Linked DNA regions of Caenorhabditis elegans. The protein of the gene in region 1 interacts with the protein of each later gene in a pairwise test. Each region holds a gene or a part of one and is shown in the gene's direction. Other genes may lie near its edges. The genes, in order: mei-2 and mei-1.

Region 1 (15,624 bases):
CTGGTCATTATATTCATTCTCTTATTAGGAAGTGAAAAGAGAGAAATAATGTTTCTCTTCCATTCCAAGTTCCTCTCTCTCTCTCGGTACAAACTTCCTTGTTCGTGTAAATCGTTTGTATTTCTACACAAAAAGGGAATCACTAACGGTATGTAGATCTTGTTATTCAATGCGGGAAAGATGACGGAAAGGAAAATGAGAAGAAGAAGAAGAAAGGAGAAGGTTCGAGAATAAGTTAAGAAAACTTGTAGAATAACAAGTCGTTCACCACAGGAAACCGGTTTTACAAAATCGGAAAGGATTACATTTATGTACAGATATTCGAAAGTTTAGGGGATTTATAAAATTTATGATCGATACGAAATAGTTCTAGAATTCACGAATCCCTTTTAAGACAGAAATTCCATAATTTTTTTTGAATTTTTGCTATCGAGTATTTAGTGTAAATTATCCATTTTCAGCCCAAAACTGGCTGCTATCCGTTGACTAAAATAAATGTCAAGAGCTTTCTTTCACTGAATGTGGGCGGAAATGAATGCAGAAGCGAGCAGCAAAGAAACAGTGAAAAAGAAGCTGAAAAGGGAAGTGAAAATATAATTTGGATTGAGGAAACGAAAAGATGGAAAGAAAGCGAAACGGGGAGAGCAGCTAAAAACGGCTATTCCATAAACAGAGCTAGAATTGAAGAAGAAGAGGAAAAAAGAGAGAAAGTCCTGAATACTGGACTCTTTAGTGGAGGAATGACGCGAGCATTTGAATTAACAACGTCACTTCGTTTGTTTTTTTTTTGTTGGAAATTTAAATAATTTTAAAAGATAAACATTAACTGAAAACCCACCTTCTTCAGATTTATGGAGAAGAGAGCGTGGCCACGTGGCAAATTTTGAGATGAGAAGACCGCTTGGGGAAGTTTCTGAAAGATTTGAATGGATTAATATTATATTAATCTGAAAATAACGAAGAAAACACAAATTCAACGTAAATATTTGAAAAAGAAGCCTCGACAAGTACCGTAATGCGTTTCTAAAGGCGCACGGATTTTTTCGGATGGGTCTCGCCACGAGAAAAACAATTTGCGGAAACTTTTGCGGAATTTTTTTCAAAGTGGACACTGAAAACACCAACAAAAAATCATTTGAATAAATCTCTGAGTTTCAGAAAATTGTGAAGGATATAAAAATTATTATGTCCAATTGCCTTTTTTCCTTTTCCATATAGTTTTCTGAATTTTTGGAGACCCGAAGAACTCGGGGGATGTCCTATTGGGGGATTACCAACTCGGGGGATTGGCCCCGCCCACAGAACCGTGGCTTGCAATACGCCCATTTTTGCAACTGCCGCACGGTTTTAAAATTATTTTTTCTTGTTAATTCTCGCTCTATTGAGAAAAATACAGTTTTAAAACCGTGCGGCAGTTGCAGAAATGGGCGTATTGCAAGCCACGGTTCTGTGGGCGGGGCCAATCCCCCGAGTTGGTAATCCCCCCAATAGGACATCCCCCGAGTTCTTCGGGTCTCAATTTTTGTATGCTCGATTTTTTTCTCAACAAAATAATTTTTCTTATTTACACTTTGTAAAGTTTATAAAATGTACATTTACTTAAAAACCAGAAAAATATTCTGAAGATTTAAAAAACGATGTAATTCTTTAAAATCTATGATCTGCTGATTAAATCCTAAAAAAATCCTAAAATTTTCTGTTAATTAAAAGGTCAGGCCATGTAGCCACGTATCTAGGGCAAGGTCATGTAATTTTCATGTTTTTTGCTTCATCAAAATTCGATCAAACACGTATTCAAAGTCAACGAAAAATAGAATTTCACCTAGTAATTTCGATTTTTCTCAATAAAACTGGGTTCGTGGCACAAATAGGTCATTTTAACTGAGTGATGCTAAAAAACGATAAGGAAAAGGCGAGGTTTCTGGAGTTTTCAAACGAAAGTGACATCAAAATGCTAGCAACATTTTCTCCAAAGAATTTTCGAGAAACTATAATGAAAAATGTCACACAGAGAGAGCATTAGAAGAAACGATAAGATACTAAATCAAGAGAGTTTGAGAAATTAAGAGACGCAGAGAAAACCAATGGTTTTTCTCAGTTCGTCCCAGTAAAAGTCCGATCAAATCAATCTTTTGCGAGCCGTCAGAGTGCTCCGCAGATGTGCTCAGTGTGTCTATTGGCCAAATGTCACCATCAATTGACCCTTCAAAAATGTTGAGCAACTGACTACAGAGCTCATTCCGGAGCAAGAAAAAAAACATAAATAGCAAATAGAATATGAGTCATCCGACAGGTCATAGTAATGAATGAAATATTTTCTCAGTGCAATATAATTTTATTCATACTAATTTAAGGATCTAAATACATAAAAATTTTCAGACTATAAACAGAATTGAATAGTAGGTAATTGGGAAGAAATTGGACAAAAGAATACTGTAGAAAATATAGTTCATAGAACTTGAATATTGAAATCATTGTACTTGAATCTAGATCTTCTGAACAATCGAGACCCCAGTCATTTCAGCTGGTTGAGGGAGTCCCATAATAGCGAGAACTGTTGGAGCAACATCACAAAGGGCCGGATGACGGTCGGCTGGCTGTAAACGTGTGAAGTGAATAGCTATTTACACCCGTTTGTAAATTAATATTTTCATTTAACATATGGGTTTCTGTTTTTTTTTAAATAAAAATTTCAAACGTTTGACAAAAACTCACATCGACAAATTTGAATCCTGGATGGCTCAAAGTGAGTGGAACACGGTAACATGTGTGAGCAGTGTGTTTTCCACCATCTGGAGCCTTCATCTTTTCAGCATTTCCGTGATCAGCAGTAACCATAAGTGAGTATCCGTGCTTTTGAGTTGCTTCATAGATTCTTCCGATTGCGATATCAGTAGCTTCACAGGCCTTGACAGCAGCTTCATAGACTCCCGTATGCCCGACCATATCTGGTGGAGCAAAGTTGCACATAATGAATGGATGAGTTCCAGCCTCGAGTTGTTCAATCATTTTGTCAGCAACGCCGGCCGCAGACATTTCTGGTTGAAGATCGTAAGTTGCGACCTGGAAATATTCAATTTTCGAAGTTATATCATCAAAGTATTACCTTTGGACTGGGCACTAAACACCTTTCTTCTCCCTCAAATTGTTTTTCAAGTCCTCCATTGAAGAAAAATGTAACGTGAGCGTATTTTTCGGTTTCCGCACAATGAAATTGCGAAACTTTTTGCTCGGCGAGCCACTCAGCCAATACATTTTTGTTCGATGCTGGCGGGAACAGCGATTTGAATGGGAACTCGGCTTTGTATTGAGTCATTCCATATACTTGAAGATTTGATGGATGAGCTAACTTCGAATTGCAATCCTTGTAACGATCCATTCCCATTGCTGCAGAAATCTCACGCATACGATCAGCACGGTAGTCGAAGAAGATGATTGTATCGTCATTTTGAACACGTCCTTTCTCTCCTTGAAGAATGATTGGCTTCAAGAATTCGTCTGTTTCATCAGCAGCGTAACGCTTGCGAACAACTTCAACAACCTGGAAAATGATAATTTTAGATATTATTTAAACTTGCTGAAATTAGAATTCGAATTTCTCTCGGAAACATTTTTAATTGAAATGAATTTGAATTTTTGTTGATTTAAAGTGAAAAGTTTGCATCTTGGTATATCATACATTGTACGGAAGAAAACTACTTTATATTTAGTAAATGATTTTTGATACCTAGAAAATTATAATTAAACGAAATCCAAAACTGTTCATTCTTCGTCTTTTGAATTGTTAATCAGTTTATACGCTAAAATCATACCCCAGCCTCATCGGAAGTCTCTCCAACACCTCCAATCATTGCCTCGTATGCAACATTGATACGCTCCCATCTGTTATCGCGATCCATAGCATAGTAGCGGCCAACTACAGTAGCTAGTTTTCCATATCTGAAAATATTTTTAAACATGTTTCCTAATGGGGTTATTCAAGTAATGTAGCGAAATGTATTTAAATATATTTGTGACGTCACAAATGTATTTAAATACATGTTTTTATATACTTGAATACAGTTGTGGCGTAATTTTTCTACACTTTTTAATTTTCCGACACTACTTGAATAACCCCATAAATTATCACATTATTCTAACCCAGTAGTTTTCTCCAAGAACTCGAGGGTTTGTTCAAGGAATCCAACTCCACTGTTTGGAGAAGTATCACGACCATCTCCGTAGAAATGAAGGTAAAGTTCTGGAACTCCGAGCTCTTTGATGGCCTTAACCAAAGCAAACATGTGATCTGAAATGAGAAAAATCATAAATTGAAAATAAATAAATGAATATTACCAATATGAGAATGAACACCTCCGTCAGAAACAAGTCCGGCCAGATGAAGACGTCCATTTCCGTTTTTAGCACGATCGCAAGCATCCACCAAGCTCTCATTAGTCACCTAAAATTTACGAAATATAATATTCTGAAATAATATTGGAAGCATACAAATTTGTTGTTCTTGACTGCCAGATTAATACGAACAATGTCTTGATAGATAACACGTCCGGCTCCGATGTTCAAATGTCCGACTTCCGAATTTCCCATCAATCCTTCTGGGAGACCAACATGAAGACCATGTGCCTCAATTTGAGCCCAATTGCCTGGAAAAATGTTCTTGGGTTAACAATTTTGAAATAAATAAAATCTTACCCGAACACAGCTTGTCCATAACTGGTGTCTGTGCGTTGAGAATAGCGTTACCGTAAGGATCTTCAGAAACTCCCCATCCATCAATAACGATGAGACAGACCTTATTGGCCACCGAACTGTTATTTGCCATCGCCATTCCTGAAAAATATCGGAATATGATGCAAATTGAAAAATTTTTGAGTTTAAAGGCGAAAACTATTAGCTGTTATAGGGGGATTGTGATTTCTCGCACAAAATATAAAAAGAATAAAAATACTAGATGATGCTTGTGAAGGAATTTCTTTCAAATATATTCGGAGCAAAACTTTTAAATGTAACCTCCATTAAAATTAAAACATTAGCAATCAATTAATATAAAAATAGGTATTAGAAAGAAAAAAGGACAATTAAAAAAAAGGCAAAACAAAATGACGAGATTATGAAAAATGGAATTAAATCAAAACTGTTGATTCGTTATCAAATAAGAAGTTTGATCATCGATCAATTTTGTTTCGAGAAATTTAAAATATAACCAGTGAGAAAAAAATTAAAAAAGAGAACAACAAGAATCCAAAAACCGCTCACCGCGTCGTCCGAAATATTGCCGATAAATTTGAGCGCCCAGGGCTACGAACATCTCTATTTCTCTCCGTCTCTTCTGTCAAGCACTATTTCATTGACTTATTGAAATGTTGAAAGAAATGAGAATAAAATTGAGAAACGTTTTCTGTGTGAGATTTTTGCACGTAAACAACTCTTCTATCACGTATCTCTAACATTTCTCTCATTTCTCAAGAAATTCTCAATTTCTCGTGCTCTCTTCTTGAAGGATTTTCTAGATGTTTGGAGCCGCGCTAAACTATTGATTCGAAACTGAACAAGAAAAAAAACAGAATTGACCCAAAATAGAAGTGTTTGAAAGCGGAGACGCAGAGAGCTGCACGAAAAATGATGCAAAAGTGAAGTATTGAAATTGAAAAGTTTTAGCGAGCGAAATCAAAAAAGTGTATCTTTATTGAGTTTAGTGTCCAAATAAAACCCTTTTTCTCGCACCGCCCGTCTTTTTCAGCGAGACAACGACCACAGACAAATGAAAACTATTGAAACAAGTAAATACATACAAACTTTTGTAATTTCTCAAGTACTCTTCTTTTCTAACATGCATGTTGACATGTAAAATTCTTCTTTTCTAACATGCATGTTAACATGTAAAATAAATTTTATAACAGTTATTTTTCCTGAAATTCGACGGTTTAATAAATATTTACAGGACTTAAACATTTAAATTGATTTTTAAAGATAAATTTAATTAGCATTTTGACAGTGACAGCAATAATATTGAAATATTAAAGAACAATGATTTATAACTTATAACAGATCACAAACAATAGGAACATGATGGAATAGTACAAGATTACGCGAAAATTCCGTATAAGAGGAACACAAAAAAGTATGAATTAAATTAGAATGTAGAAAGTTTTAGTCGTCACCATCCCAAATCGTTTGATCTAGACCGCCATCATCTGGAGCAACCAAATCCTGAAAACAATAAATGTTTCATGAATATTCCATTAAGAGACACAAACCTCATCATCCATGGATTCGTTTTCCTCAGATCCTTGTGAGAAGCCAGCTTCACTTTCAGCTACGTAGCTGTTGCCAGAGCCTGAAAATAGTTGCAAATTGTCAAGCTTATTCAGAATTCAAGAACCACTTTTATCATCTGCAACTGATTCCTCTTTTTTGCCAGATATTTTTGAAGAACTCTTCTTAATTTGCTCTGCAGCTCTTTTTGCTTTTTGTCTGTTATCGAATTCTGCCACATGCGCAGTCATGGAAAACTCAACGTCGTTAAGTTTTTCGTCGGTGCCTGTTGGATTGAAGAAATCATTGAGCATAGATTCATCCTGAGTGGTTCCAGATAGGATCGACTCTTCCGATGTTGCCGATATACTTGCAGCCGGATCGTGGCGTTTAGATGAAACACTCGCCGGGCGGTTAACTTCAGAGGGACCTGAAGTAATCAGAATTTTTCGTACTGTAAAAATTATTATTACGGCCGTAATTATGGGAAATGTGTTCCATTTCGCTTTCTCGGCGAACATTATCAGGCAATTTATCCATGTTTTTCTTGGCCTGCATTGTATCATACTTCTCCATATGAGCAATCATTGAAAACTGTGGACGCATTGAAGTTTGTTCTTTGCTAACCGGAGAATTAAAGAATGCATTCAATCCAGACTCATCCTGTGTTGTGCCTGTATCGTCATCGAATGTTGAATCTTCAGAAGTAGCAGATTCATTTAGCTCCGATGTAATCTTCCGAATAACTTCAGTGGGCGTTGCAGCGTCTTTGTTGATAAGTTTTATCCCTGGATAATGCACACCAATCGGTCCAATAGATCGTGTTGAATCTAAAACTATAAATAATTATAAATTTATTTCTTCTTTGACACAAAGTCTATTAAAAAAACTTTGCAAACTTCTTTGAAAGCGTCGTATTTTGTTATTCAAAAAAGTAAACATGTGGTTGTAATCAAATTGGTATAAAAACAATTAAACATCTTACCTGAAGTGAACGACGACTGCGACGTGGTTCTTTGGTTCCACTTCTTAAAACGCAATGATTTCTCCACATTTCGAACATTGTCACGCTGGAATGACTCTGGTCCGGGAAGTTCAGTGCTAGATGCCACGAGACGCCGAAAAGCCTCCTGAAACAAGACTTGTAATATACTGAATTTGAATGAATAAATACTTCTTTCTTTGATTCCACATTCTCTGGGGTGTCAGATCGTTCCACAGCACGGACAGTCACTTTCAATTTATTTAATGTGATTTTGCTTTCAGCAATTTGTCGCTTGACGTCCTCGATAGCAGATTTCTTCCGAGTCAGAACCTCTTTTTTAACGATATATGCGTTTTCCAATTGGTTTATTTGATCAAAACTCTTACGGACTTTCTTGTTCTGATATTTAATATCTTCCAACGACGCCTCGAGATTTATTATACTTTCTGAGTTTTCAGCTTCAGACTTTTCAAGAGTTTGCAGTTCATCGGAGAGCTCGCATACCTCATTGCAATCAGGAAACTTTTCGATAGATGTAAGATTAATTTTGTTAAGATCACTGAGGTCAGAGCACAACTCATTAAGAGATTCTAGTTGCTGGGTCATCATAGCTGATTCTTGGCTGATCACATCCTGTTTCAATGCGTCTTCATATATTTGCCTGGCTTCGTTTATCTAAATTATAAATTTTACATCCTTTTTTATGAAACAGAAATACCTCCTCTTCCAGTTTCGCTTTATAAACATTTTCACTCGTAGAAGAGTCTTTGACTGAAGAAAGCTTCTCCAGAGACAATTGAATAATATTTGACTCGAGATTTGTATTTACTTGAATCTCTTCTTTTAGCTTCATAATTTCTTTTTCAGTTTGAAATATAAGTTTGCCTGTTGAAGATTGACGCTTTTCCACATCGACTTTTTCATTTTCCAGGTGCTGAACAGCACTCGAAACTTCATCAATGGAAAAAACCATAGTTTCGTGTTTTTTTGCAGATTTTTCAATACACGCTTCATATGGAAGTGTGATCGAAAGCACTGACATTTCCATCGGAAGAGAGTGATTGCCCTTGGAACAGAAAAAATCCATTTTATCAATCGTGGAGTTAACTGAAACACGAAAACTAAAATATTAAAAGTTAAAAGGAAAATGATACCTTGATCAGTAGACTGTGCCAAAAATGAATGAAGTTTCTTCTGGTGATTTTTCACATCTTTATCGCTGACTGACATTTCTTCTGCGGCTGTTGCCGAATGTTTGACTTGTGAACAACACGAATCGACTGAAAAAATGTAATTCGTTTGCAACCAAGAACGAAAATCGCCTACGGAGTGCATGGTTTCTTGATAGGTCTCTACACTGTCTTTGAAAGCTCGAAAACTTTTTTTCGAGTAGGTTATTGCTGAAATTAAATTAATATAAACTGTTTCTTTTTTTGGTGACTTACTTTCTGATGATCGACTTGACTTTCGCTTCATTTTCCAACAAACCAAGTACTGGAGCCATTTACTATAAGAACTAAATTAAATATTAAATATATCGTTTCAAGAATTCATTGGAATGAGGCAAAAGTAAATACTTAGGATTAAAAAATCCAGCTTTATATTAAAAACTTTAAAGGCGCATATGAGATGTTATTCGGGTCCCGCAGCGCTCATGCGGGGTACGATAGTACTTCAAAGAATTACGCGGGAATTTCTTTTATGCGGGAAAACGGTTTTTTCTTGTTTACTAGTTCCTTTCTTTCGTCTAATTTTGATATCTTGTGTTTTTTTCCAATTATAAAATGTTTGTCTCTTCTTAAATTTGAAATTTTGAAATTTTTCAGATGTCAGGGCTTGACGACCGGAAAAAACTAACACATGCAAAAAATAGGAAGCCTCTCAACGACATTCCGAAATCCGCTGAAAACAGACCAAATACAAGATCTACTTCGAGTCGGTGAGTTCTACGAAAAAAGTATCTGAAGCGATTATATTTTTTTCAGACGCGGTGCGGAAAAGGACGTTCCCATCACTTTCATCGGGAGTTCTCGAACTGTGAAAGCCGATCTGCCCGAGTTCACAAATACTCGCTCAAGACGTCCATTGCATTCCGAGTCGAAGAAGGAATTGTCTCGGAACCCGGTTTCGAGAGGTGAAGAACATAGCAGTTCTTTGCCAAAATCCTCCCCAGAATCATCCGTGTCAGTCATGTCATCAAACGCGTCGTTGTGGTCCGCATGCACCGAGGAAGTGAATAAAATCGGTGTTTGTGCGAAGCGAGAGAGCAGAAGTAGGATTTGCAGAGTTTTGATTTTTCAGTTTATGTTTTCTTTTCAGATCTTCGTGTTTATAAGATGAAGAGTTTCACAAGTAACATGGAACAGATATTGTCAAACGACAACCAACTCGCTCCCACAGTCATTAGAATTCTGAATAGTAGAAACTCTTGGTGTCTCAACTCGTGCCATGCTTGTTTAACATTTATCATGGGTTGGTTTTGCTTCCTGATAAATTTATTCTAATGTTTTGTAATTCAGAAAATATCACGAGCGACAATTATGGGAAGCGATCGGCTTGCTTGAAGGCTCTTGCATCAATTACCAACAGTTTACTGGACACAATCATCGGATTTGCATCCACCAAAACTCGGCGAATTGGAGTCGATGTGGTAGCTGAAGAGCGAGCTGCAAAAGCAACAGAGTGCATTCACAATTTTCGCAAAATAGTTAAAAATCGGGACAAAATCTACAAACAGATTGACCAGGAGACAATTTACAAACTCGATGCCATTCTCGAGCGATTGAAAAAAGTTTCCAGCCATAAGTAATTTTCTTGTAAATAATTGCATACTTATTATTCAACCGATGGTTATCACCCAACTCACTGTTTATTTTATTGCTCATACATTGTGTTTCTTACATGTCCAATATAAAAACTATCATGTGCTCTCGTATTGTGACTTAAAAACAAAAATGGGCTAATTTAATGTCCCTCACAGTATCGTACGAAAACGGTGATTCATTGTCTATGGAATCGTTTTTCTCTGAAGTCTCTGAGCGAGTGCGCCCCATTGCAATCGATGTGTACACCTCGTGGAGGAACTGATTTTCGCATAAGCTTCTCGTCATTTCTAGAAGTTTCTTAATTTTCTAATAAGTTAACAATAATTTTGTTCCAATTTCTTATTTATCGACACTCGGAGGCTTCTCCCACTGCTAAAACTGTCTCAAAATCAATTTTCAGAAATGAAGGTGAATGTGTCGTGTTCATCCGTTCAAACTACAATCGACATTCTTGAGGAAAATCAAGGAGAAGACGAATCTATTTTGACACTTGGGCAGCTACGCGATCGAATCGCCACCGACAATGATGTTGATGTTGAAACCATGAAGTTGTTGCACAGAGGTTGTTTCTGATTTTTTGGAATAATGAGACAAAGTATTTTACAGGAAAGTTTCTTCAAGGCGCCGACGATGTCTCCCTTTCTACTTTAAATTTTAAAGAAAATGATAAAATCATTGTGATGGGTGGAAAAAATGCTTTGGTTGATGACGCGGGCTTCAAAATGCTCATGCAATATGAGAAGCATAATTTGAGCAATCTTCAAAAAGCCTATGATCTCAATTTGAGAGATGTCGCTGATTTGGAACGTGGTTTTCTCGAAAAACCAAAGCAGGTCGAGATGGGGAAAAAGCTGGAAAAGAAAGTGAAATATTTCAACGAAGAGGCGGAAAGACATCTGGAAACTCTTGATGGGATGAATATTATCACTGAAACTACTCCCGAAAATCAGGTGTGTCATAATTTTATTTTGTACTTTGAATAAGTTTTCGATTCAGTTCAATCAACTTTCAGGCTAAGCGAAACCGTGAAAAACGCAAGACGCTCGTAAACGGAATCCAAACTCTTCTTAATCAAAATGACGCACTTCTTCGGAGACTCCAGGAATATCAGTCAGTTCTCAACGGAGACATTCCTGAATAATTCTCAATTGCATAAAATTGCTTCGGGTTTTTATGTTATGAAACTCAGTTATAAATCAATAAATTATATTCTTATGCTATGTATCAAAGGGAGGAAAAGGGGCAAAACAACTGACGGGACCCATTAAAATGAGAAGGCTGCTAATTACAAAAAAAAGAGCAATGGTGTGAAAAAATTAATAACGAGTTCTTTTATCATTGAAAAATGATTTGAGCAGGAAAACTTGGCCAATTCCAATGAATACTACGACGGCAGATTGACCAAGGGACCAGATCATCACGCGCTCGTTGAGTTCTTCTGCACGTTTGCGACCAGTTGCTTCACGGAGACGATGATGAGTTTGATAGTCATCAATCTACAAAAAAGTTTATAAGTATGTCAAATGTCGGGTGAACAACTTTTTTAGTAAGCTCCCAGCAAAATAGAGTTGGAAAAATGAACGAATTCATAAAATTCGAAAAAGTTACGTTTTGAGCATTTTCTAATTGTAAAAATAAATCTTTTTAAATAAAAATCTTACTGTTCTCAATTTATCTCCAATAGCGACTGCATAATTTTCTAATTGAGTCATTGCATGAGCTCCTTGAGTAACGGCAGCATGAAGAGCATTTTGATCACCGAATTGCCAATCCATGTAAACGATTTTATGAGAGAATGTGGAGAATTCATTTGAAAAGCATGCTTTGTATGTTCCTTCAACTTCGGCCTTGAAGTTGATACTGTCGTACTGCTTTTTAGTATCTTTATACAAAACTTTTCCATTTGGATCCTCAATGATCAAGTCTACGTCATAATGGCCTCCAGTAACAACCTGAAATTATCAAATTATTACAGTTTCTACGATTTTCAATTGAAATACTAACTTGGAATTCAAACACTGTGTCAACATCCTTTTTCAGATCTTCATAAAAACACTGATTTGCGTTGTCTGGAAGTTCGAATGTCAATTCGATTGACAGACCTAGGGCCACAAGAATTGATGAAACTATGACAAATTTGAGCATGATCTTGGCTGAAAAGTTGAAATATTTTTACAAATTTATTCGAATTGGATAAGAAGCAATACAAAATTATAATTATTCTATTAATAGAGAGAAAACGTGAAAAGGAGAGAAATTCGACGCATGGAAAATGCCAACAGAACACTAGTTCAAAGGGGCGCACTTGCAGCGCACAATATTTATATTTAATTATACAATAAATATATTATAAATAGAACATAAAATAGAACACATTAGAACATTGCACATTTTGTGCTCAATTGTAAGAGAAGGCTAAATTCATTATTTTGTATTAAATATTAATATCAATAAAATATTCACAAATTGACAGAATAACTTCAACGTAATAAAAGAAATTGGTGTAAAATGCAACATTTTTATTTATTTTCAATAGATAAATTAGCTAAAAACTAAAATTCATCAAAAGAATCATTAGAACTGCTTTCCTCAGATAGATTCAGTTTACTATTAGCTGGTACAAGAAGTGCTCCTCCTTTCCCGCGACCTATTCCTCTGGCACGAGTTACACGTTTCACAGCTGTTTTGCTCTTCTTGATTTGTTTATCAACTTTCTTTTCTTTTGACATTTCATTGTTTTTCATAGTTCCCGCTACACGTTGTCCAATTTTGTCCAGCGCCTCGACAATTTTTTTCGACCATTTTAGTTCGAGAGAACTATCCAATTTCTGTGCGAAAAATCGGTCTAATCGCATTTGGCTTTGTCCACCGGATTTTAGAAAATTATTCCATTTTTCGAAAGCGTCAAATGAATTCTGCTCTTCGTTGTGCTGTTTGCGATCAGGCCATTGAAGGCGTTGATGAAGAATTCGACGGATCAATGGAATATTCATCTGGCGCCATCGAAGTTTTTCTGATGATGAATCAACGATGGGATGAAGGTAGGCATGCACAGCGTCTTGATTAGAGCACACCTGAAATTGAATTGAACTATTAGGAATTTAAGAGAAACATGAGTTTCAGTATGTTGTTTTGTTTTCAAAAATCTAAAAATAAGTACACATTTGATATTCTCCATATCGTTTGCTTCAGTTACATGTCTTCTCAACATCATTGCATTTCGACTAGCAACTCGTTTATCATCCGGAGCAGTTAAGAACAAACTTTCCACGTTTTTAAGGAGCCTCATGATCTGAAACTTTTCATAAGGGACTCCATCACATGTGTAATTATCTTACCCTGTTCTCAATGACTTTAAGATCATTTGTATTATCAATCCTACATTCAACATACTCGGACACCAGTTCAAGTGCACCAATGGCTCCAACTTTTACAAGTCCTGCACAATAATCACCCCCAGAGAGCAGAGCAATTGAAATGTAGTCCTCACGTTGGAGACCTAGATTTTTAGAATTCAGGAAATATTCTAATGTTTGCCATAAATCTTACAAAAAAGTTTGCAATTATCTCTATTCGCTGTTGTCTGCTCTCCATATCGTTGTACTCTCCGATTCTTAGAAAACATATGACGATATACATGTTGTGCTCCAAACGCCCACACATCACTATCATCACTAACGACACCATCAACTAATCCAAGTCTCTCCAGCTCAACACATTGAGCTTCCGCTTCACCAGGCGATTCGATCCACGGAATGCCTGCATTTGTAAGAAATTCTTGAAGATCACGATATAATTCAGGCGTCTTATCATCCTCATCACTATAGTTCAAATGAATATAATCTTCCATGAGAGCAGGAGCAGAAGATGTTGATGGCTTATCGTATCGTTGAGGATCCCATTCAATCTCCTCATCTTCACTTGGAACCTTGTGTTTCTCCAAGCTAGCCATTCTCTTATCCAATGATTTTGCAGCTGTTTCAAGTAGAACTTCTTGAAGAACCATCTCATCGTCGCTGACTTCTAAAAAAATAATAAAACAAGTTTTGTTTATATTTTAAATGTTTTACCAATCATATCATCTTCTATTCTCTGTTCCTTTTTTCTTTTTTCTTCCTCTTTCTTATCTTCTACAGTTTCAGTACCATAATGTTGTCGAATTCTTTTTCTCGCAATTGCTTCCAACATTCCCGATTTACTCTGATATCCTCTTTCTTTCTTGTCAATTAAACGTTCCTCTAATCTGTCAACAATCTCTTCTCGTACATCATCAGGTGTCACTTCTCTGCTTAATTTCTTTCCACCATATTCTACATTGAAAAAGTCAAGTGTCATTGATAAAGGTTCTTGATAAAGACTATCGATATCTCGTTTTAATTCTGGGCGAACTTCTTGAATCTCATCACTATGTGCATATTTTAAAATGTGAGAAGTTCCATCTGGTCCAGTTACGTTGATTTTATCAGAAGAGTATCCACCTGTGGAGGTTGTTGTAGACTTGGCTAACTGAAATTATAGAATGTGGATTTAAAGCGATTTTTCACTAAAAACTTTTCGGAAACCGTAAATATCCGCTTCAAGAACTACAGTAACCCACTTTTAAAAAATGTTTTTTTCTAAAGTTTTAATGTGTTTCAGAGTTTTTTTCTTCATAAATAAAAAAACTTCTTAAAAATGTGGAAAAATCAAAGAAAATTGAACGGATTATGACTTCAGTTTATACATTTTTATAAGTAGCAAATTATGTAATTCAATAAAGTTACTTGTTCAATTTCTGCATTCAGACGACCTCTTCTGAGTAGACGCTGCATTTGAAAATTGCTGAAACTTTTCGAATCTTGTGGAATCTGAAAATCGTTTTAGCTTATTGTAAAAACACTTTTTTAAAAGATAAAATCCAACCATATCAGGCCGTAATCTGCTATTTCTCATGATCTCTCTTTTTTCCACGAGACTTTGAATTTCCAGTTTCCGAGAAGTAAATTGTTTCGAAATTCGTTCTTCTTTTACAGTAGGTACAATAATAATATCACTATCATCTGAATCTGAATCTTCAATATTTCCATAAACAAGCTGATCATTTTGATGTGCAGAAGGTTTATCCAAATATGTGCTTGTTGAGGGAATATCCTTATAAATGTCGTTCAGAATTACTTTTTTCGATGGACTTATAACTTCTTTGATTGCATTCGCAAGTGCCACGTCATCAAGACCACCACTGGCAATTTCCTGAAAATTGATTGGTTTAACAAAAGAATTTGGAAATAATTTAAAACTTTTTAAACAGTTAAAAACTTCAAAAAAATTGATGCGAGAATATAGAGCCGGGTCTTGAAACGAATCGATATATTTTAATGAAGATCGTGAAGAGTGTGCTCATTTTTTTGCTCTTTTAAAAAACAAAAAAAATCTAGTTTGTCTTTTAACAACCAAAAATTTAATTGCAAAAAATAGGAAACGGGAGCTACAGTACTACTTAAAGGCGCATAACCATTTTCGGAGTATTTTTCAAAGAAAATTTTCGGTTGTTTCGAGACCGTGCGCCGTATTCTTGCTTCA
Region 2 (16,833 bases), 1.7 Mb from region 1:
GACAACGAATGCGGTGGAATTGGGTTAAAGTTTGCCGACAACCCGGAAAAGATTCAATCTCAAACGGAAATTGAACATTTTGATTAATGAGTTTATAAGCGAAAATGTGTTGGAAGGAGCAATTTGACACTTTCTTTGGGTTTTGGATGCTGACGGGAATATCTTGCAATGAGATTGATTGGGTGTTGACATACAGTTTGAGAGGTCTCTTGCATTAGTCATTGGTCTTTATGATTTACCGAATCGTCGGATAAGAATCAGTATGCGAAATTAAGCATAATTTTATAAGAACGTTTTTCATGAAAATACTTCGTAAAGCTTTTATGACACGGTATGGATATTTACTGTAAAGTACCGTATTCCTCTAATTGAATTTACAGTATTCCCCTCGGTTGACCGGATAAAAAACAGCTCATTATTTGTCCACAGGATCCTTTATTCGATGCCAAGTGTATTCTGTGGTACTCGATATGACGGATGAATTACCACCAAATTTGAACCATATGTCGTCGACAATTCCGATGCTTGTCTTCTCCCACCACTTGTCGTCGTCATCTTCTGCTCAATTATCTTCGCACCATAGTCAATATGAACACTATCCAGAGAAAAGAGTCACCATCACCTTTTATTACCACACACACACACACGGGTACACCAATAAAAGGGCAAGTCGTAAACGAAAAGCGCCTGCCTGCTGACATTTGGTGATGCCCACCCTTTCACATCTGGCATCCTTGACCACTATTACAGGAAGACGTTTGTTTTTTTTCAATGCCCGTTTGAATCACTTTAGAGCATTCTCTATAATTTGGAGCTTTCGTAAAATCACTTTGAAGGGAAAATTGAAGAAATCTAGGGAACAGCCGGGTGCAATCGAGAACGGGGGCGAGTGGAGCTGCACAATTTAACAGAACCTCATGAATATATGATAAGTTCGTGAATGCAATCTCCATCAGAAACCTTAGCATGACGTTGAGATTTTAGGAGCAAAGTTTTGCTTGAGCTCAGATGATAATGATATTACATAGATCTTCACATAGATAAGCTCAACTTCGTCCTTGGAGATGGTTCTGAAATTTTTTAGAACTATTATATTCAGTCAAACACCCTCTTGCTTCCAAGAAAACTCAAGCATCCACCACCCGACGCCAAAAACGCCTGAAGCGGGAATAGATTTTCTTTTAGTGGTGTGATAATTGCCACCCTCTGGTACATGAAAACAACATTAGGTGGTGCTGTCAGGCACACATTGCTTCTTCCTCTTCTATCCGGTCATCCTTCTTCTTCTTCTTCCCATGGGTGGTGTCTCTGTTGACCCTCCTTCGCCTTAAGCCCCGCCCCTTTATCCGCCCGTCCCCTTCGCCTTCTCATGGTGTTTTGCCTCACGTTTGCTGCTTCTAGCTGCTGTGTTGTTTGTCTTCTGGAGAAGTCAAGGATTCTTTGTTCCGAATTGGAACAATGATTTCATACATTTTGCTTTTATTTTTAAGTTTTTTGGTATTATGCTCTATTGCACTACCATCATCATGTCCGAATCTTTGTGAATGCGATCAAAATGACTCGTCTTGGAGTGTTTATTGTCGAAAGGCAATCATAAACGATACGATTTACGCGGAAATTCTAAACCAACTTCCGTTGACTCTTCGATCACTTCATATTCAGGTTAGTAAACGATAAGATCTAAAACCACAACGTCCGTCCGTCAATCTAATCCCTTCATTTACATAAATTGTTTTAGCCGCCCTCAAATCGCATTGGTTCTAACAAACTTCGATGGAATGACAACATAAACCGTTTTGCACAGCTTCGAGTTCTTCGTCTCATCAATTGTCAGATTCCAGCAATGTCCCGATCCATTCGACTGCCATCTTTGGAAGTATTAGATCTACACTCAAACAATATTGAGCATGCGACAATGAGCAACTTTGGTGGTATGCCAAAACTTCGAGTATTGGATTTATCATCGAATCATTTGAATATTCTTCCAACTGGAGTATTCACATATCTTAGAGCCCTGCGATCATTGTCTCTATCCAATAATACTATCAGTGATCTTTCTACAAATTTACTTCGAGGTCTCAATTCTCTTCGAGTTCTACGACTAGACCGGAATCCTATTCCAATTGAACACATCAATGAGTTATTCACAGATGTTTCCCAATTGGATGAATTATATTTGAATCATTGCAATCTTTCATCAATTTATTCTCTGGCTCTTGATCGTATTCCTCAACTCCGTCAACTTGGAATCGGAGGAAATAATCTCAAAATGGTTCCAACTAAAGAACTGAGATCTCTTCCTCAACTTTCTGTTCTCGACTTGTCTCACAATTCCATTCAAGAAATCACAGCCTGTGCATTTTGCAATACGAATATCTCAAAATTGGATCTTTCCCACAATTTGCTCGGAATTTCGAAAGACTCTCCGTTTAACGAGGATGCGTTCCGAACGATGCCATTACGTCATCTGGATTTGTCATTCAATCATATGAATGATTTTGACTCAAAATGGTTGGGATGGGCACAAGAAGAGCTGACTTCGATTGCATTGTCAGGAAATTTCTTGAAAAGTGAGTTTTTGTAGCAAAAGTTAAAATAACCCCAAAACTAGATTTTTAAAACTTTTTAGATTGTTTTTAATTTAAAAGTTTTTCCGATTTTTAAATTTGAAGAACGGTTTTTCAAAGTTACTAGAGATGGCATAATTAATTTGTAATTTTAGATTTCGAGGAGTCATGGACCTATACATTGAAGTCGTTGATTCATCTCGAACTGGCCTACAACCACATCAAATTCATCCCGGTACAGCTGCCGTCTCGCTATTACCACCTGATTTCATTGAACATTTCCGGAAATGAATTGACTTATTTGCCTGACAATATCAACACTTTGCTTCCAAATGTGAAAGTATGTCCATTTTCTATACGAAATTCGAAGCGTTTGTGGACCCCCTTATATGGGGACACGCATGTCATTTGAAACCTGCTCACTGAGATTTCTTTAGACTTTCGACATCACAGCCAACCGATTCCACACCTTCTCGCATACAGATTTGGCATTCCTAAATAATGTTGAACAAGTGTACGTAGATGGAAATCCTTGGGATTGTTCATGTGCTATTCAAGGACTTCAAGTGAGTCTTTTCCTCTCTTATTTCTGAATTAATTCGAACATCTTTTCAGGTTCATATGCGAGATCGTTATGCGATGAGACACATTCTCAACTACGATAATGTCCGATGCGCGACACCATCGCTTGTGGAAGGTCATTCAGTTCTGGCAATTACCGACGTAAGATTCACATTCACGTTATTAATTTCACTATTTAAAAACTTCAGGTAAACGACTGTGCCGTTTTGTTTGGTGCACGGTATGGATTAACGCAAACAAGTGAAATGCTCATACTTCTCGCAGGAGTTCTCCTTTTTGCCGCACTACTTCTTATGATTCTTGGATGCATCTATTTCCTTCGTGAGCGACAGTACAAAGGATCATATGTGACACGAGAACACTCTCGAACTCCACTCACGATGGCAAACACACATAGTTGCTCTTCGAGTACAAATGATACACATGGTCCATTATCACCACCATTTGATCCATTCTTGGTTAGTACTGAAACATTTAAAGCCACTCCTCCATTGATTCCACCAGCACCTCCAAAACCTGGATCATCCTATTTTGGCATTTAAATATCCTTTTGAGAGTTTCAAATGTTTCAAAAATCTAAATCCGTGTGATTATTTGCATCCATCTAGTCGTTCGATCTCCCAGCCCCATTTTCATGTATTTTTGCCCCCTTTTTCGATACGGTGTTCAATTGTTTAACCCTTTGTCTGTAAATAAAATAAACTGCTCGTAGATATACCAAGTTCAATGAAATAGACAGGAGCCTTAATCAGCAGCATAATAGTAGTTTTCAAGAGGTAAGACACCTCTTCTCGGCCGTAAATCCGTCGGCAAAGAAGTAATAAATCGGCGAGGCTGTTGTCTTTACGCCCTGGTTCTCTGTGGGGGTCAACTCATTTGTCAAATGCACACCAAGACAAATGCATAATTGAGAAGGTTTCGAGAAGGAGAGTTGACTTTTTCGTTTAAAAAAACTCCGCGGGAAAATCTCCGTAGCCACAAAATTTTGACGTTTATGAATTGAAAATTGGTTGTTCGACAGGGACTCGTTAATTTATGAGTTTATGAGCCATTCGAATAATAAATTGATGTGCGTATGTATGTGCACACGCGCGCGAATTCGTGGATGTAGATTGCACAATCTGTTATGACACGTCGTCTCATCCGTTAGATTCCCAAGTGACACCCAAAACAATTGGAGTAAGCCAATGCCAATTAAGTTGGATAGATGACCACGAAGAACAAGACATAACTATGAAAAATGACGGATCGGTGTTCGTCGCACAAGTACACATGTAAACATCCGTCTCTTTCGATAATTACCACTATTCTATGCTTTTGAACAGTCAATAAAATTGTATACTTTCAGTTTGAGTATACAATTTTGTGATCGAATTTCTCTACGATTCAATAAACAAAAGCATCAATCTTCTGGAAGTCAACCAAAGCTTCTTGGATCAAAAAGAAGTAGTCTTGTTGAAACTACAAAAGCTAATTTCCAAGACTTGCCATCGTATGTTCGCGCGTGGTTTTAAATTAATTGACATCTTTCTTGTATAAATATTCTTTATATGGCAGCACATCTGCCTCATATTCAAAATTCCGGGGGAATTTGTTAATGAAGATTTAATATATCGACGACAAATTCAAAACCCAAAACCTTTGGTATAGATCCATTGTGGGTAGAAGCCTACTGTTGGTGTCCATAAACGGCGAATCACCTGTGTAAGGATCGTGAGCGTCGGTAAAAGTTTTCTATGAGCTAAAAAGACTACAATTTCAGGAAACCATGACGCAGGAAATTTTCAATCATACAAAAGCTTTCATCATTGACCATAGCTGTGTTTTCTTTGAAATTCTGATCCATCTTCCGACAAAAAATGAATTGACACCTTCTTTGTCCTCTCATTCAGTTTCTTTACTGCTTGATGAAATAAACTGTGCGGTGTCAAAAAACGAAGGTCATTAGTGTGTAGTAGTAATTCAGTCGTCTTCTTGTTAAATGTAGCAGATGAAAATTCGTACAAGTGTCACAAACGAAGAGTCTCTCTCTCTCTCTCTCTCTCTCTACAGAGTCGTAAATCTTTCCGGACGCCATGGACATGCAAGAGGGAGCCACCACTACGATTACCCAGATTATTATCATATGCGGAAGAAAGATTTGTCTACAATAGCCATTGCGTGTGCATTAGCGATCCCTTTCCCGGATATGTTCAATTACAAGGGATTGGAACATTAACTTCGACTCATTGACAGACAAAATATAGTACCCAATAGCAAGAATTGCTACAGTAATCTAAATCCCTAAAAACCTTACCAATCCCATTACAAAGTAGTTGAAGAAGAAATTTGGTGGTCCATAGAGTGTCTCCTTGTGAAGTCCACGATGAATTCTGGAAATTTTCAATATTCAGATGAAGCGGAAATTTTGATAAAGCTAGAAACTGTTAATGGTTAAATTTTAAAAACTTCAGTTTTCGAGAAATTTTAGGCGTTCCTGAATTTTTAAATATTTTTTTAATGAAATTTTCTGAAATCTTTTAACTTTTTTTTTCAAAATTTATCCTTTTTAAATATTAGTTGGAAAGTTGTTAAATAAATTTCAGGCATTTTGAAAAAAAAGAACTTTTTTCACAATTTTTTAATTTATTCATTGGATATTGCTGAATATCAACAAAATGCTATATGAATTATTTTTAATTGATATAAAACGCTTACATTGAAACCCTTCAACTTTTTTTAAGAAAATTTTTCTTCAAAAATTGTTTAAATTTTCAGTGGAAAATTCAACATCTATTGAAAATAAATCTAAATTTGTGAGAAAAGAATTTGAATTTTCAAGAGAACGAGAACGTACTTCATCTTGTCATCGGACTTGTAGAAGACCTTTGTCGGGGCTCCAAGAATCGATTGCACATCCTAAAATTTAAATTTTTAGAACAAATTTTTTTGATTGAGAAAACCAACCGAAACAGAGTCTCCAAAATAGATTTGTCGTGTGTACGTGGATACATCATACTCTCCATCGACAATTCTTCCGTCTGCAAATATTCACTTTTTTTAATAATTTCAAAAAATTCCAGTACTTTGAGTATCAAATTGAATATCAATTCCAACAATATTCCCATTTTCCCAAATTGCTTCGACTTTTCTCGTCCGATTTTGACCACAATAACACGAGAATGGAGTATCCACGGATCTTCAAATTTTGAGAAATAAATAGAAATAAATAATAAATTCTCACTCTGGCTCAGATGGATTTGGTCCACGATAAATGGACATCTTGGTAAGTTTTGGTTGAGAGTTGGCATCATATTTCAGCGAACGAAGATTTCCACCAAATCCAGGCTGAAATTGAAGAATGTTTGAAATTTCGGTTTTTGGGAGATATAAAAAACTTTTTGGAAATTAAAGGTGAAGTAGCGGCTGTAGGTTAGAAAAAACTCTTTTAATTTTTTACTATATTCGGTATCGTATTTTTGATTCGAAAAAACCCACAGACGGTACTCCAACTTTAATACCCAAAAAGATCAAACTACAGTACCCTGACTTCCAAATTCGAATTTTCTCCTCCATATGGGAAACAGAAAGATAATCCCGGCCAACTTTGCACATAGATATTGTGCTTATCATCATATGATCCTGGATGTGTCGATCCAAAAAATTCGTTGACCCGATCCAACGTCGCCATGTTATTTGGATCAGAGAAGATTGTATCGCTGAAAATTTTTATGAAGAAATTGTATGACTATCTTGGCAATTGAAATTGATTTTTTTTCTTTGATAGTTTCACAATGACCCGAAACGACCGAATTCAACAGAGAGAATTTTCAATTTTCAGATTTTATGCAAGGCTGAAATTTTTCGAATTTTCAAAACGCCATAATTTGTTTTAAATTCAATAGTTTTAAACGAGCTTCTGTAGTTTTTTTTTTTTGATGGTATCATACTTATAAGTAAGTGTAATCATTGAAAGATTATCCACTTCAATTAGCTTGATAAGCTGTGAAAGGCCATCAAAATAGAGACGAATTCCTGTAGAACCGATATAGATGATGATATCCTGGTAGAATGGATCCTGAATTTAATTTAACTTTATTTAAAAGTATAATTAGTTAATTTCTATACCTTTTTACTGTACTTCAATTCGACTTTTGTAAGCATTCTTGGATGTTGCTGAATCATTGCAATACATTGATTGATTGGCATACCAAGCACAAATTCGAATTGTGAACTTTTTAGACCAACATCTGGTACAACCTTGAATTTCTTTGGAAAATATTTATTATTGATTTTTTGACTTTAAAACAAACCGTGAAGCTCAGATCTTCTTCAGTTGATGGTTTCTTTGTGACTTGCTGTTTTCCATTCATTTTCGATGATTCAAAGCTGTAAAAGCTTTTATTTAATTTTTGAAGAGTTGGAGAAAAAACAAAGAAGAATTTTTAAACTATGATTCACAAGAAAAATATATATTAAAATTGAGAACTGATATTTACTTGGTATATTCTTTTCTAAATTTTTTTTCCGCCAATAGTACGGTACCCGGTCTGGGCGCGACGATTGTTTTCTGAAAACAAATGGGTCTGCGCCTTTAAGAAGTACTGTTATTTTAAACGTTCATTGCTACTGAATTTTTATCGACTTTTCATACTTTTTCCCACGATTTGTAAAAATTTTGTGTCGTTTTCTTTTATTATTTTTTTTAACAAATACATTTTTACCGAAAAACACTGAAAATCGATAAAAATTTTGCAGCAACGATAGTTTGATATTACAGTACTCTATAAAGGTACACGTCCGTTTTTATTTTACAAAAAAGGCGTATCGAGACCGGGGTATCGCCTTTTCCTCGCAAAATTTCACGTTTATGCAATATAATTTAAAAATATATTGGAATTAATGTGAAAAGCTGTTCAAAAGTTTTTTCTTCAGGTAAAATATGGAGCGTTTTCAAAAATTGTAATTTTGAAATATTTCAAAATAAGCAGAAATCAATGTGCTAATCGTTAACCAAATCAACTGGAGATATTAAAACCGTTCAAATAGTAAATAAAAAAGAAAAGAAACACATGACGTCGATGGCAGAATCGAAGGCTGTGACTGAGAGACTGCAGTAGAGCGCACTTTCCCGCCCAGCTGTTTCCGCGTGACGAAGACAGGCACAAATAAATAACGTTGCACTTTTTACACAGAAAATTAGGAACACTCTTTTTGAGATGTATGGGATCTACCGTTTCATTCATTTCTTAAATTCGCATAATGTTGGAATAGAACAGATTTAGAAAAGAAGAGAAACACGCATGGAAGAACCGCCGGATTCTTGAGTTTTGTCGGAAAAGAAAATTTTGGGGAGAAGAAAAAACGAAACAATGAAGAAAATAAGGATGTTGTGTTGAGAGGGGGGACATTCTGAATGGAAACTGGAAAGAAGAAATCAAAACAAAAATAAGGAAGAAAGTGGCTCAGAGACCATAATTATTGAATTGTCCTCCAGATTGTTGCCCGGCTGGAGTCGTGTTGTTTTGTGCTGCGGCAACGTTATTCGCCGTATTTCCGCCGCTGTTTCCCTCCTGTCCTCCATAAGCAACAGGATGAATTTTGAAACCGTAGAGTCTGAAAATTTTGATATTTAAAAATTTACACATAACATAATTATTATTGTACTAAGTTCTGCTAAATTTTTAAAGTGGATAAAATATTATTGTTTGATCTTCTAATTTCTAAAATTATTTCGAATCTAATTTAGTACAGCCAACTTATTTCGGCAATAGAGTAAATCTTCTAATTTCAGTCTACCAAGTCAACTTTTTGAATTAAAAATGATTTTAGAAATGTGTCAAAATATTTTATTGATTCGAAATTGCAACTTATTCTTGTTGAAATATTTGAAAAAAGATCTCAAATAGAGCCTGAAAGTTGCCGAATGCCGAAAAAATAACCTTCAGACACTAGTCGTTTTGAATTTTCCAACATTATTAAGTTGTGTTTTCGAATCAAGCAAATATTTTACTTCATTTTTTATTCAAAAAGTTTAATTGGTATACTGAAATGAAAAGATTTACTCGATTGCCGAGATTTTAAAGATTTTTTAAATTAGAATTTCGGATTTTCAAATATTTAGCTTAATATATATCCTCTGACATACTTTGGAACGAATTGAGTGACTGGTCTGCGTGGACGCAGATCAGGATGAACAAAGAAGAGCATATGTGGGAATCCGGTGCCAAAATAGCTTCCATCAGTATGTTGATGACGTGATGATCGTGGAACGAAAACATCATTGCAACGTGGACAGTACAATTTCACCATAGCCTCGCCAGGAACATCAGACAATCCTGGAAAAATTGGAATTTTACAGAAATTTTAGTGTAAAAACAAATATTTGTTTTAAATTTTATTGGAAATGCACTTTTAAATTAGGAAAATTTAGTACTTTATAGTTTCACTTTTCTCAAAAAAAATTATCCGCAACCAATGAAGTAGCGATTTTTTTATAACTCACCAATTGGAAGCATTGGCTGATTTTCACAGTAGACACGTGGGCAAACTCCAAAGTCATGATCACGCCACTTTTCGACCATCTGTGAGATTCCTCTATTCGTAAGAATATATCTAGCGTGAATGAGTCCATAAAGCATTTCAGCGGCTTGTTCAACAAGATCAGTGTTCGTTGCGTTATCCTCTATGTCATCTTCTAGAAAAAGGTTACATTGCGGGGGCACATGAAGTCAGCAAAAATATCACCTGGTTCTAAGTCAAGAATCATGTCAAGAGCCTGTCGATACTTGGGCACTTGCTCATTGAGACCTGTCAAATTGAACCGATCCTGAATATATTCCTCGTCGACTTCACAGAAAAACTCATTTCCACGAAGGCCACAGAACCATGTGATCCATGATACCTGAACAAAAAAAAAGATTCGAAACTAAAAATAAATTTCACCAATCGACCATAAAACTTGTTATTAAATTCATAGTTTAAAATATAAATCATTAAAAAAAACGGCTATTTAGATTTTTCTGATTGTTTTCCGCAGAAAATAGAAATATAATACAAACCTCCTCCGAACTACTCATGACTTCTGATCCAGACAAACTAGCGCTTTGTTCTGACTGCGAACCAGACTCTGCCTGTAATCAAAAGAAATTTTTTTTTGATAATATTTTAATGATAACTCACCGAAGTGGAATCGAGTTGGCGCCAGCGAGCAGAAGCCGTGGCGTTCACGTCGATGACTGGCCGAGTTGCGCGCAAAGCACACAACTGCCTGAAATTATGGGTACAGGTTGGGTGAAATGGTTCAGAATTATTGAAAAAAGCAGAAGAAAATCAATAGATCACAGTCATGTGCGCCCACATAAATTCATAAACTCCAGCAGTTTTCTGTCGAAACAGAAAAAAGAGGACGAGGGAGCTGACGAGGCCTTGTGGACGTGCAATGGGGCACGGTTGCATAGCACATAGGTCACTATCGATCTCTGGGGAAAACTCGAAAAGAAGGTAGGTTGGCCTCGAAATTCAACGAGTTTGTGTGGAAAACCAAGTAATAGTAAAAAAATTAAGAGATGTGATCCTTATTCACATACAAAAAATTAAATTTTCTGAGATCCCAGAACAAAAAAGAACATCGGCAAATGTAAATAAAATAAAATTAATTCATAAATTATTCAAGAGCACGCAATTCCTTTCGCAATCGAGTCTGTCAACTTGAGCATTACCATCTTTTTGAGCACTTTCACCTGTAACAATTTATAATTATATGATCATAAAAATGTCTATAAAACTTACCTTTTTCATATAATTATCATTCAAATCTCGATGTTTATCAAGCGTAAACGTTGACAAAAAGGTTGAGAGCTCATAGAGAATCTCCTTGGAAAATCGGATTCCAGCACGCCCATCCTCTTTGATAATCGTGATTAAATAATCGAAGAGATCATAGTAATACTGAGTTGGAACATCAGGCATCATAATAAGCGGTATCAGATGTTGAACACAGTCCAGTACATCACCACAGTGCATCATCTTCACAAATCGTTGATAAGAGTAGAGGAAGGTAAGAGATGGAAGTGAGAGTACAGAATGATTGGTTATTGAAGATAAAACTCTTAATGCAGCCAATTCATCCTTCGAACTTGAACCAACAATTCGAGATACTGTCCAGTCAATTGTCTTTTTGGATCCAGTTTTCAACGCCCAAGCGAGTGTTGAACTCCAATGTCCTTGCTTCAGATACCGGAAAGTCATTGTATTTGTCACACAACTTTTCGCGTCTTCCAGTCGATGCTCTTCACATATTTCCAGCAACTGCTCAGCCATCTCATCATCCTCAATGTGAAGCCCTTCGATGTGTGTTTCGAGACGTAGAAGTCCTTCGGTACCACACGCAATAAGATATCCGGCTCCGATTTCCCACAGACTATAAAAAATTTGTGAAGTTATATTTTAAAATGTTTTTTCAGTAATTAGAAATTTCAAAAACTAACGGAGAATGAGAGATAAGAACACTGGCGTAGTCCAACATGTGCATTTTCCTCATCACTTCAAACTCGGGATCCAATGTGGATTTGTGAATAAGATCAACCAGGTGAACTGCGAGCCAGGGATTCGAGGCAATCAACTGAAATTTTATTCAGTAAAATTAATTAATTCTTATTTAAAACAATCTAGAATTTATTTTGAAGAAAATTGTTAAATATTCTTGAACATTATTTTGATTTTTTTTTATTGGGATAAAATTGAATGAAATGTTCTGTCGCCGTTTAATTAATCGTGAAAGAAATAGTGAGCCTATTTTCAAGAGATATTTATATTTAATTTAATTTCTTGAATAAAAACAAGAACCTGTTGAAAGTTAATATCATCCTTCGAAATAAGACACCAGAATACATCATTTTCCTTTGCACCCTCCTCTTCCTCTTCTCCAACGAATAGTGTTCTACACTCATCAGCTAGCTCAATGAGCTCGACATGTCCGGCGAATGGATTCTTGACAAGCACAAAGAATGGCAGAAAATGCCACCACGTGTCGAAAATCCGTGAAGCCATAGATACGAGGTATCGTTCCTCACCGAGTAGGAGCTTCGTAAGATATTTGAAATTTTCGTTGCTCCCGTACTTCCCACTTGTCAAATTTTCACGCATGATATCCTTCCATTCATTTACTGTGTTAGCCTGAAATAAGAATATTACGAAGTTTAAGAATTATTATATAAATGGGTCTTACTAATGCTTCGTCGACTAAGTTTTCGGGATTGAAGAATGTGAGAGCCTCAATGAATGCATCACATTCTGATCCGCCTCCATGTAGCTCCAACAGTTCAACACAATCGCTGAAATTGCAACTAAGCAAGCTGACTGCTACTCCCTTCCAATATTCTTCTGGAATCGTCTTCCCCGGATGCAGATATTCCACAGCTGATTCCATGGCTCCTCTAGAAAACGTGAAGCTCTGATTGGCCCATGAAATAAGATCCGCACATATCGAGCTATCACCTCTTCCAAACCATAATTTCTCGTAAAGTGACCACAAAGCAAAGTCTGTCATGAAGTCGGAACTGCTGTGAGACACGGCGGCATTGTAGAGAACTGAACGATAAGCTCGAGAGAATGTGCAGCAAGTAGGCGTGTCTAGAGGTGCATCAGGTGAGGAGCCTTTTTGACATTTATCAAATACAGAATACATTTCGATAACAAGTCGTCTGAGATTTGGTGTCGCAAGAATTTGTCGATTTTGTGAAACTTTCTCGACCAAGACTGTTTCTGAAAAATCTCTTATGTTGGAAACTGAAGAAGATGCAATTTTTACCTTTATTTGAAAATCCTTTTTTATCTGTTAGGAAGGCGAAGACCGTGGAGGAGTCGCTGACAGCTATCCCGAATTCTCGAGCGACATCCGTCATCTGAAAGAGATACTAATGTCATGTGAAGTGGTATTAAAAATATAGTAAGCACGGTAGAAACATTAACTTATAAAATTGAGATTTCTGATAAATAAAATTTTTCCGGGAGTTCTGTAAAACTTCTTACGGTTTTAACTTGATAATTCCATAGGGTTTAAAATTTCCTTTTGTTTCTTGAGTTTCTTCTCGGAATTTGAACAAAAATAACGCGTTTAATCTCGAATCAGTACAATGATGGACTACACGGCAGTTTTAAAAAACCAATTAATAATAATAATCCTAAAAAATGAGAAGAATATTTAAGAAAATGTAAAAGTTTTCCGCGGAATTCCGCTAAAATTCGAAAATTGAAAGTGTTCAAATTGCAAGCGATTGTGCATTCAGACGTGACAGTGTCTGGGGTGTATTGCGTACTCGACATTTTAACTGACGACACTTGTACTTTTGCGCCATACTTCCGGAGCTCCAGCTCCGCGGAGCCCTGAGCAATTATTTTTTTACTTTTTATGAAAAGCTTTCTATAGATATCTTTTAAGAAGTTACACTATAATTGTGCAAATCAAACTGGCTCCGGACAACACAAATTTCGTCTATACCTTTATGATCTTTTTTTGTTAAACAAGTGAAACAATTATTTCCTTTTCAAACTGCTCTTGTTTCTTCTCTTTATTAATCAATTTTTTTTTTTTTGCTTTGTGTAAATTAATTGTTTGTCGCGGATGAGCTAATTCTGAGGTTTGACCAGCAGAAATCTGTTTTCTGAAAAATCAATAACTCGCCGCTTAATTTTGGTTTTATTCAAGTGATATGCAATTAGAAGGTTCTAATCATTTATATCTCGCTGAAAGATCTCAGATTTCAAGCCTTTTGCTAAGGATTTAATTCCTAAAACTTTTTTTGACCTATCATTTTTTGTGTGATCTACCGCTGTAAATACTTGTTGTTTTGCGGCTAAACTCTTTCAATGTTTCCAACAAGTGAGCCAATATCAAGTAAAAAAAGAAAAATCGTTTTCTATTCAACCATTTTATTCTGTAAATAATATTAAATTCATCTTCACGGTACAATCTTCTTCTCCCATCTAATAAAGTCCACGCACACTCCGTTCCGTCGTTTCCCTATTCGTTATCATTCATCATCTTGCCATTTTCTTCTCCGCCAAATCCCATTGTCTTATACTAAATTTCATCCTCTCGTCTGTAGAAGTGTATATTATTGAAAAATTAAAGTATATTTTCAGGATGAATGGGGATGTGCAGTCAGTCATTCGCGGATATCTGGAGCGAGCCCAAGTCGCGAAAACAATGTCCGATGCCGGACGATGGAATGAGGCTGGTGATCTTCTTCGTCAGCTCATGACAGATGTCAAAAGCTGTAAAATTTCGGCAAGCAACAGAGACGAGCATGACGCAAGAAATGTACGTAATATAAATCTTTTAAAAGCTTGTTGAATTATTTGAAATTTCAGACATTCCTACGAGCCCTAGAGGCTAATTTGAAGCTTGTCCAACAAAATGTGCGCGATGAAGATGACCTACACGAGGCGATGACGCGACAAAGTGGAAGTCCAGAGCCACCTGCAGACCCAGATGTTTGGTCCAAACCATCGCCACCGTTACCATCCTCATCGAAATTTGGAGCAACAAAGAAAGGAGTTGGAGCAGCAGGTCCACGTCCCAGAGAAATATCAAAGTCAACGTCGTCGATGAGCACGAATCCGGCTGATGTGAAGCCTGCGAATCCAACACAAGGAATACTGCCTCAAAATAGTGCTGGAGATTCATTCGATGCATCGGCTTATGATGCGGTAAGTTATTATGTTTTCCAGAAACAAAAATCAGAAATCTTTTCAGTACATTGTTCAAGCGGTGCGTGGTACAATGGCTACAAATACGGAAAATACAATGTCTTTAGATGATATAATCGGAATGCACGACGTGAAGCAAGTTCTGCACGAAGCCGTCACTCTTCCACTCTTGGTGCCAGAATTCTTCCAGGGTCTCCGTTCACCATGGAAAGCAATGGTTCTCGCTGGACCACCTGGAACTGGAAAGACTCTTATCGCACGTGCGATTGCTTCAGAGTCTAGTTCAACTTTTTTTACCGTTTCCTCGACTGATCTGTCCAGCAAGTGGCGTGGTGATTCCGAGAAGATTGTTCGTCTGTTATTCGAACTTGCACGGTTCTATGCTCCATCCATAATCTTCATCGATGAGATTGACACACTTGGTGGACAACGTGGAAATTCTGGAGAACACGAAGCGAGTCGGCGTGTTAAATCCGAGTTTCTGGTACAAATGGACGGGTCACAGAATAAATTCGATTCGCGACGTGTATTCGTGCTGGCCGCCACAAATATTCCATGGGAGCTCGATGAGGCACTCCGAAGACGTTTCGAAAAGCGAATCTTCATTCCACTGCCAGATATAGATGCAAGAAAGAAGCTTATCGAAAAATCAATGGAAGGAACTCCGAAATCCGATGAAATTAACTATGATGACTTGGCGGCAAGGACTGAAGGATTCTCAGGAGCTGATGTTGTGTCTCTATGCAGAACTGCTGCTATCAATGTGTTGAGAAGGTAGGTAGCAGGAATGTGCAGAAAATCTTTTTGGAAAACGTGCTTGTTTCAATAAGATAATCCAATATTTCGAATCAAAAACTGGTATAGAAATGGCAACTTTCATGCACTATTTAATGTTTTTAAACGCTTGTAGACAAAATTAAATAACATTTTAAGATGAAATGAACCGTTTTTATAAATTTCGATATCAATTTAAGATTGAAAAGTTGGATTATCATAATTAAAAAAAAGCCAATTTTGTACGTTTGCTGAAAAAATTTTGCTAATCGCGATGTTGCAACACTTTTTTCAAGAATCGACACTAAGAATCCTTAAGATATTTCAGATACGACACCAAATCATTGCGAGGCGGGGAACTGACAGCTGCAATGGAATCACTGAAAGCCGAACTCGTGAGGAACATTGACTTTGAAGCAGCTCTTCAAGCAGTTTCACCAAGTGCTGGTCCAGATACAATGCTCAAATGCAAAGAATGGTGTGACTCTTTTGGTGCCATGTAAATCAACTATTTATTGTGATCTCCTTTTAGTTTAAAATATTGTGGCCTAGCTTTGGTTTTTGAAACTCTGAAACATTGTACAGATAAAATTTTCAAGGCCACCTTCATCCAAACATCTCTCCCCGATTCACTCTTTCCTGTAAAATACTTATTGGTTAAATTTGTATGTAAAATGAATCATTTTGCCACTCACTGGATTATTTGGAAATATATAAAAGTTCATTTGTGAAAGAAATATAAGAAAAGAAGACAGTGAAAAAAAACGATACAGGAAAGAAAATAAACATCGATTAGAAAAGAAACTGAATAAAAAACCGCCCTTATGAAGGGTAACTATTAGTGGATAAGTGTTTAGGAAATTTCATGTGTGAATTTTAATTGTCTAAAAGGTTAACATTTTGGAAGAAGAAAGATCAAAAAAAAAAGAAAGCAAATTTTGTGGAACACGATTCTCTTACGGGGGATAACAAACGGAATTATGACGGTGGACTGTAAGGAAAAATTGAGAAAGATCTGTGATGGGCTGGACCACGATAAGAGGAAGTGGGGAAGGCTTTCAAATTAGAAAAATTAGACTTTTGGTTCATCTGGATTAGTTTTTGGTGGTTCCTCATCCTTCAAAAGTGGAGTATTTTCAGTTGTTAAATTCGATGTCGAAGTGTGTGGAGACGGACGAATTACCTGAAAAACAGATCGTTCAGATATTTTACTAAGTTT

Evidence for each region.
Region 2: the proteins of mei-2 (region 1) and mei-1 interact in binary tests that used the Caenorhabditis elegans proteins (3 or more experiments, as listed by UniProt).

What each region holds. Positions count from the first base shown.
Region 1 is NC_003279.8:6,559,293-6,574,916, reverse strand, and holds mei-2 (Meiotic spindle formation protein 2), read left to right. Parts: upstream 1-9,064; 5' UTR 9,065-9,066; coding exon 9,067-9,179; intron 9,180-9,225; coding exon 9,226-9,512; intron 9,513-9,559; coding exon 9,560-9,712; intron 9,713-9,759; coding exon 9,760-10,049; 3' UTR 10,050-10,168; downstream 10,169-15,624. Other genes in the region: ipgm-1 (2,3-bisphosphoglycerate-independent phosphoglycerate mutase), read right to left, coding at 2,487-2,597, 2,716-3,063, 3,107-3,541, 3,813-3,939, 4,141-4,288, 4,336-4,441, 4,489-4,643, 4,693-4,830 and 1 more; syp-6 (Thyroid receptor-interacting protein 11), read right to left, coding at 6,151-6,210, 6,258-6,337, 6,383-6,685, 6,729-7,091, 7,241-7,385, 7,430-7,915, 7,959-8,347, 8,395-8,520 and 2 more; bag-1 (BAG family molecular chaperone regulator 1), read left to right, coding at 10,468-10,627, 10,672-11,015, 11,078-11,206; tmed-3 (GOLD domain-containing protein), read right to left, coding at 11,382-11,561, 11,727-12,017, 12,070-12,210; xpg-1 (XPG (Xeroderma Pigmentosum group G) DNA repair gene homolog), read right to left, coding at 12,618-13,139, 13,226-13,357, 13,404-13,564, 13,615-14,088, 14,136-14,571, 14,829-14,912, 14,968-15,294. UniProt on the Caenorhabditis elegans protein: Forms a heterodimeric complex in conjunction with mei-1 which severs microtubules in vitro in an ATP-dependent manner. This activity may promote rapid reorganization of cellular microtubule arrays. May act to target mei-1 within the cell.
Region 2 is NC_003279.8:8,280,608-8,297,440, forward strand, and holds mei-1 (Meiotic spindle formation protein mei-1), read left to right. Parts: upstream 1-14,266; 5' UTR 14,267-14,274; coding exon 14,275-14,451; intron 14,452-14,501; coding exon 14,502-14,840; intron 14,841-14,886; coding exon 14,887-15,614; intron 15,615-15,933; coding exon 15,934-16,117; 3' UTR 16,118-16,333; downstream 16,334-16,833. Other genes in the region: phaf-1 (PHAF1 protein T01G9.2), read right to left, coding at 5,446-5,521, 5,986-6,047, 6,096-6,169, 6,215-6,327, 6,373-6,476, 6,673-6,847, 7,079-7,206, 7,257-7,397 and 1 more; dma-1 (LRRCT domain-containing protein), read left to right, coding at 1,459-1,662, 1,739-2,570, 2,723-2,907, 3,005-3,133, 3,183-3,290, 3,338-3,691; kin-10 (Casein kinase II subunit beta), read right to left, coding at 8,594-8,744, 9,277-9,466, 9,634-9,825, 9,876-10,032, 10,190-10,207; npp-2 (Nuclear pore complex protein Nup85), read right to left, coding at 10,799-10,870, 10,920-11,550, 11,618-11,751, 11,976-12,305, 12,358-12,893, 12,940-13,033; abts-1 (Anion exchange protein), read right to left, coding at 16,687-16,797. UniProt on the Caenorhabditis elegans protein: Catalytic subunit of a complex which severs microtubules in an ATP-dependent manner. Microtubule severing may promote rapid reorganization of cellular microtubule arrays.